2 linked regions of the Kluyveromyces lactis genome follow. The protein of the gene in region 1 purifies or fractionates together with the protein of each later gene. This does not show direct contact. Links are inferred from orthologs where the notes say so. Each region holds a gene or a part of one and is shown on either strand. Other genes may lie near its edges. The genes, in order: MCD1 and SCC2.

Region 1 (3,389 bases):
TTGAAGAAGCTAAGCAGTTGTTAAAACGTGTTTGGAATCAATATCCTTCATCTCTTTACAGGATATACGAAGAAGTGTTACTTGGTGATCCATCCAAATTGAAAATTAAATTAAAACCTCCTACTGTGAGCGCTTCTATCGAGACAAAAGCTTATACTACTAGAATGGGCGCCATTTGGAAGGAAGCGGAAGCTAAGAAGTTTTTACTTGATGAGTTAGCAAGCATTTTTAATTCCACTTCGTTTGACACTGATGCAGTGAAGGATATAAATGATGGCGATGATGATGACGACGTGGCGCCAACATCATTCTTCATCAATAACATTCCAATTAATTTGTTAAGGTTTGCTATTCTTTCTCAAGAGTCATCCGTTATGGCTGCTATTCCCGAAGAAATTTGGTCAGATCATTCTGTGTTTGAATTCGATGTACTACCACCACAACCACATGATAGAGAAAGTGAGTATGTAGTAGAAACAATCGAAGGACTAATTGATAGTAAACATCTAGAAATATCCCAAATGAACAGGTTCGCTGATGAGGAGCTTTTACAACACATTAACCAGTTATCAATACAAGAATACTTGGAGCAGCAGCAACAACAGCAACAACCAAATGAAGAAATCGAATAGCACAACAACTTGAACTGATCTGCCGTCATGTATATTTAAACCAACTTAAAAAAACAGATATTATTAATTATTTATACATAATGTCCGTTATAAAAGTATCCAAATTAAAAGTCTATGCGGTAACAAACGTCTCATATAAGTTTGATTTTCCTAAAATTGTGATTTGTCCAAATGTTTCCTTCTGTTTCAATGATATACAGTCTGCGGTGGCAAGAGAAAGTAACTCAAAGAATGCTTTACTGGCCATTCTTTTTGTTATTACCGCGTTATCCTGGTACTTCGAAGTAAGGATTTTATCAAAAGTAGCTTCACCGGAGCTCATTTCATCTCTCAGTAGAGTTGCCATTTCCACTGTAGATTTAGACACGATTTCACCGGTAGCAAGCTCTACTTTTTGACTTTTTTCCTTTTCAATTGACCCACGAGAGGCAAATTCGTCTGATTGAATGGCTTGGTAATCATTTTCTTCCATGGATGTATCAGCTGCAAGAACTGGAGGTTCATCATCAGCAAACACTGGTCCTTCTGATTCTGCATCAAAGCCCATTTGTTGGTGATCGAATGGATCAGAATTGTGTACCAAACTTCCATCGATACCCAAAGAGATATCTATATCAACATCGGACCCATCAGATTGGCTGGATTGTGACAGAGCTCTAGGCTTCTTTGAAGCTTTATGGTTGAAGAAATTAGATATAATCTTTTGAGGAAGGAAGTCCAGGTCAGAGTATAATTCATCGATGGCTCTTTTTTTCTTTGATATAGCGGACGAAGTCTCATCAGAAACGATAAGAATTGAGTCCGATGGTCCTCCTTTCACTTCAGAATCGTTTAATTCGGCATCAGCATCTATGAGAACCTTCTTAACATTGATAAAGGCTTTATTCCTTGGTGCCCTCTTCTTTACTGCTCTAGGTGGTATGTATGCCTCTGCTTGCTCTTGATGCTCTGGTTCTGTGTCCTTTGGCAGCCCTAGATCAAAGTCTAAGAGTGTATCATCATGCAATGAGTGAGTAATATCAGCCCTTCTCCCGATCTCTACAGACATGTCGCTACCATGGCTAGACTGATTACCAGAAATATTCTGATCATCATCGTTTAATCCCAAATCCCAATCATCGTTAAGTGGTAGCAATTCATCATCATCGTCATTGTCATTTCTAATAGTCAAATCACCTTCATTTTCTCCATCATCCGCGTTTACTTCACTAGCAGTAACACGAGTCCCTTCACCCCATGATTTAGTGTTATTGCTTTGATTAGAATCACCAAGGTCAAAATCTAATTTCAAATGAGATGAATCGTGATGTTCAATAGCATTCAAGTCATCATCTTCATCTGCCAGGAATCGCCTTCCAACTTCTAAGGACATATCCCATGCTTGTTGTTGTGCTGCAATGGCGGATGTTACAGGTGCTGCTCCTTGCACTTGTCTTTCCATTGATCGTTCAGCGATCAAAAAACCTTCTGGCACTTGGATATCTTTCAAGAAATCCAAACTGGGCATCTCCAAGACGTCAAGTTCTGTAACCGCATCTTGCAATAAAAGCTGATCTAACTTTGCCACTGTATCTAGCTGAATTGTGACGCTCTTGTTCAGCGATCCCTTGAAGATAGATTTCACTTTACTCAGTAAGTCTGTGATATCAGTAAGCAGATAGGATGCTTTTTGAGAATAAACTTTTACAACACCATGTAGTAACTCACCGGAAGCACGTAATGTGATAGGTTCCACAGATTCATCATCTAGATTAACACCTGCAGCTTTGGCAATCTCTTCAACAGATTCCACGATATTAGTCTTTGCAATGTTCCGATTGATGCTACTCAAATTGGAAGCCAGCCAGATCTGAGCCAACGGCCCATTGCTTGTATTTAATCTCACCTGAGTATGTGAATTGCTATTTGGTGGCATATACGTTGTTTATTTTTGGATTAGGTGATATAAGGCTCGTGGTTCCTGTTGCAAATGGTATAGCAAATGGATATAAACTTAAGATCGAGATTAGAACTTGATCTTATAAGGAATGGTTAGCAAAATAAAAATGAAATAAAATAGCACTGTGTCTTTTTTCAGAGGTCACGACATTAAAATTCCATAGGTAATATATATATTTGATAAAATTATTGGTAAAGGTGCAATCAATATGATGGAATAGACATACTTCTCATCCAGTGTTTATCAATGATATTTGTTAAAGGATTGCTGGTTATAGATCTCATCACGGAAACGCGTTATGGAGAAAAATCGCGAAAATATTTTTGGGGGAAAACAATGTCTTTTTCTGGGACCTCAAAAGATTTCCCGCCGGAAAAATTTCGATTTCGTGGTATAAAATCCGGGTAACAAGTGAGGACCTTATACCCATTTATTACCCTGCCTTTCTAACTCTTGTTGATGCCAAAACCAGATCATCTCTCTCAGTATGCGCAGTCAGTTTAATCGGTATATATGAATATGAATCTTAAAACTAGACATCAGTTACACACAAATCGTTTCTGCTAAAAAATATAAAATCTAAGTCTTTCAATTCGGTTCTTAATTGATAATATTTTTAACGGGGATAGACAAATTATAATCGATCCAGTGTTTTCTTTGATATTGTTAGAAAGGAAGGAATAGTATATTGAAGAAAGATTTATGTTTGTTGGTCATTAAAACAAAGACTAGAACCCCCTTTTGAAACGGAATCGAGACATCACTTGTATCAACCTCCATATCATTTAGAATTTTTAGGTTTTATCGTATTTATTTCT
Region 2 (3,936 bases), on another chromosome or scaffold:
TTATCTTCCTTTCTTGTTTTAGTTGAGGTCTCCCAACAAATTGCCAAAGCCTCTTCGATTTCTCTCGTATTGAGCTTTGAGAGTTTCGCAAGTAGGGTGGTTTCTAGATCGTGCAAAAATTTGAGCTTGATATTGCTATGTTTCTTAATGCAGGAGCGAAAGACCTTCAAAAGCAGTAAATAACATTTACCGTTAAAGTTTGACGAAAGATATGGAAAGAGTGAGTAGAGATGCGGTTTTGATATGAAATTGATCGGACAATTGGCAAAAAAATAAAGTAGGTCATATCTATTTCTTGCATTCGATTCACTCAGTTCGTCTGCAGATGCTGCATTCTCAGTAATCTCTTCAATAAGTACATTAACAAGATTTCTTAAAGCATCAAATATCGACTTCGTATCTTCATTCTTATGAATGGAGGGGTTCAATACGAAAAAATGAAAGAAGAACTCCAACAGTTCCTCAGTCTTGCCACCATAACCGATGAGTGTTGATAATAGCTCGAGGGTTTCTGATAAATCAAATCTATGCAGTTTTACGGACAAGTCAGATGCACTATGTCTCAAAATTAGTCTATGAAGTAATAGTTTCCTGGCATTTTCCACGATAACATCCTCTTCATCCTCAATTCGTCTCAAGACTTTTTCTAAAACGAATGTCTTTATTTTCAGGTCGGAACTTGTATCAAGAATCTTTTCATTCATCCGCATAACATGTTTTCGAACTGCTATACTGTCATCGTCAAAGTTACAGTTTATTTCTCGGTAGAATTGAATGTAGGTTGTGGCCTGCTCTAGAAGATCCAAAATTGCATCTCTAACGGAAGCCGAAGAGTCATAGAGTCTGTTTTTTATGGTTTCCTGAACAAAAGGAGTATCTAACATCTGAGGATCCTTTGATACTAATAGGGTCAAACATTTAACTGCTCCTGATTTAAGTTTTACTTTTTGTTGATCCAATAACGAAAGAATGAGCCTCAAAGCGGGTTCATAAAAGTTAAACAACGGACTAAGTGAAACAATTTTCATGTAAAGGGACCGAACTCTTTCATTACCATCGATACCATTATTTATTTCTTTCTCGCTTATTTCTTTCTCGCTTATTTCTGTCTCCCTTATTTCTTTTGCTATTATACGTATAACAAAATTCATTACCTGTGCGTCTGTTTTGTCTATCTCCTTCTGATCTAACATCTCACTGATATAAAAAAGTGATTCATTCCACAATGCTCTATCGGAAAAATATGTCTTGGTCTGCGAACCCAACCAATCGAAACACTCTTTGTACTCATTTTGCAAATTAAATATCCTTTTTACATCCCTACTTTCCTCGGATGCAGCCCTCAGTTTAACGTCTGTCAAAGTGGCAGTAATTTGGCCGACAAGTTGAATAGCAAGCACTTCGAAGTTTCCTGTTCCTTGATACGTAGGGCTGAATATCTGAAACAATTTCGGCAAAAAAGCTTCTAATAAATGATGAGAATACGCCCATTTCGGGTTTCCTATCATAGTTAGCAAATCTTGGATGTAAATCTCCACAATTGATTTGAATTTGAAAGGATTCGTAATCAATCCTTCGAATAAAGTTGTTGTGACGTTATCGATTAGTCCTTTCAATTCCAAACTTGCGGCATTATTCTCGGACAGTACATTTTCAAGCAATTCAGACGTAAAATCTGACAATAGCTCAGCATCAGGCAAAGCATTTATTGACTGGAACATGGCAACAAGGGCGACAGTAAAATACGATGCGTAGCCATTCTCAAATTCATCGACCAATTTCAGTTTTTTAGTGGATTTTGAGACTACTATATCATGCACGTGTGATAATAATTCTTCCGTAATAAATAGCCGCTGAGATGGATACTCAGAAAAAAGTGATATTAATATTCCAAGAGAAAGGTCTTTTATCCGCTCCGCTTGCGATAAAAGCACATTAGTGTTTAAGTGTTGATAGCATCTGTGTAGTAGCATATCACAGCAAATGCACACTGATTTGATCAAAAACATTTCGTCCAAGTATGATTGAGAGGCGACAAACTTTTCCAATAAATTGATGAATAAGAATATATTTCCAATATCTGCATTAATACCTCTTGAGTTGTCCGAAACATGTAACTTCTCGAGCGCATTATCAAGCGCTGAGAACACAGCATTGTAATATTCTTCTAACTGAAGGTTTGCGGATTTGAGATCTATCATCATAACTTCAAGAATTAAAAATGCGCAACCAAACGTAAGGTTATTCAGATCTAAGGACTCAGATTCATTGTCTGATTGATATGCTAGGATTCTTTTGATATTTCTAGTGCAAAGACCCAGTATTTTTTTAAGAGATTGAACATCAATATACTCAAATACCATCGGAAATCCTAGAACTTTATTTATCGTCAACGATATTGCATCTATAGCCTCCGAAGTAGCAACGTAAACATCACCTAATGGCTTCCAGAATTTAGCGTTTTCATTAACACTCCCTTCAGAATTGAGTCCGACAGAATCTAACAATTTCGAAAGATGATCAAGACAAAGTTTTCCAACTTCCAAGTCATTCATCGGATTAGATTGTACACAAATTTGAATCCGTTTGGAATCCAGCTCATTCAGCAATACCTTGTCTTCCCCTGCTTCTAGCCTTCTTTTTTTAGTAGCTGTGTTCTGATTTCCAGCAACATTCGCAACAATACTAGCAGAATCGACCAGGCTTGTAACAGTCAGGCACCTGATTCCTAGCTGTGGAAGATTTTTCAGAAGCTTCAGATCAGGAGCAGTTTCTTGAGACTCATCTCTTAAAGTAATATTATTGGGTCTCCTGAATAAAATGGGGTCCCTGTCGCCTTCGTTAAATGGGTCGAAATCGATAGGGTGAGGGTATAGCCAATGTTCAGATGGGGGTGAACCGAACGCACTGTTACATGAAATACTGATATCTTCGGTTATTGAAGAACTCAGCAAATTAGATAGCCCTGACTTCGGTACTATGTGGTTAATTGGCTGGTACTTCAGTGTTTCAGAGATGCGTTTGGGAATCTCATTGTCAGTTTCGCCTGGAAACCCTTTCGCCATAGCCGCCACTGCTCAGTAATCAGAATATTACTGGAAAGGCAGTATTATTTGAAGAAGATGATAATGCCCAGAGAAAAGCAGATGAAATAGAGCTTCCGGGTGTAAACTATCTGCTGTTGCTTCTTTCAACTTGATGAAATCGTTTGACCGTTCATTGCTGTAGAGATCTAGTATTCGTCTCATTAATTATTTATATATCTATTCGGCTTTCTTGATTTGAAAAAGGCTGCTGCAGTTTTGAGAAAAATATCATGAGAATGATGAGGGAAGCATAAGTAGTCATGAATGTAGCTGAGAGGAGAAAACCGTTAGTTCCTGTACATCTGCATTGCTTAAATCATAGTACTAATTGATATGCTACGTAGAGGCTTCATAAAACAACCCCCTTTCGTGAAGATCTTTAAAATCGTCTCCCCGGAGTCGACAAACGCTAAGGCTACACATTGTGAAGTGGAATTCCCTTTAAAAGTACAAGAGCTCTGGCGTGACAAGCACCACGTAATTTTTAATAAGCCACCCTTGGCCCTTTCTCAATTACCTGACAAACGAACGTGGTACAATACTCACGACTATGATCCCCCAGTGTTATTGGATATTGTTCAAAGCTCTAGTGGAAGCATCCTGAAGGACGGTACATATGAACCATCGTACTACCCCATCCACAGGATTGACACACCAGTATCCGGTGGAATAGTATATGCTGTAAACAAACAGTCAGCACAACAATTTAGTCGAAATCTAAGGTATGGCGGGAATAAAGGATTCTCACTAACTAGAAAGTATGTCGCAAAAGTTGGAAAATCTAAGACTGCGAATGAGTGTAAAGAAGGTCTCATAAAGTGGAATGGTGCAATCACATATTTTCAGCGTG

The links.
Region 2: the proteins of MCD1 (region 1) and SCC2 purify together in Saccharomyces cerevisiae (affinity purification with western blotting; 5 studies listed by BioGRID, with this or other methods). This does not show direct contact. The link is inferred for Kluyveromyces lactis from reciprocal best matches to the Saccharomyces cerevisiae genes MCD1 and SCC2.

The regions. Positions count from the first base shown.
Region 1 is NC_006042.1:1,367,352-1,370,740, reverse strand, and holds MCD1 (kleisin alpha), read right to left. Parts: upstream 2,548-3,389; coding exon 745-2,547; downstream 1-744. Other genes in the region: RQC1 (Rqc1p), read left to right, coding at 1-632. UniProt on the Saccharomyces cerevisiae protein: Cleavable component of the cohesin complex involved in chromosome cohesion during cell cycle. The cohesin complex is required for the cohesion of sister chromatids after DNA replication.
Region 2 is NC_006040.1:1,532,711-1,536,646, reverse strand, and holds the start of SCC2 (cohesin-loading factor complex subunit SCC2), read right to left. Parts: upstream 3,066-3,936; coding exon 1-3,065. Other genes in the region: pseudouridine synthase PUS5, read left to right, coding at 3,420-3,936. UniProt on the Saccharomyces cerevisiae protein: Plays a structural role in chromatin and is involved in sister chromatid cohesion. Forms a complex with SCC4 required for the stable association of the cohesin complex with chromatin, which may act by hydrolyzing ATP from SMC1 and SMC3 heads.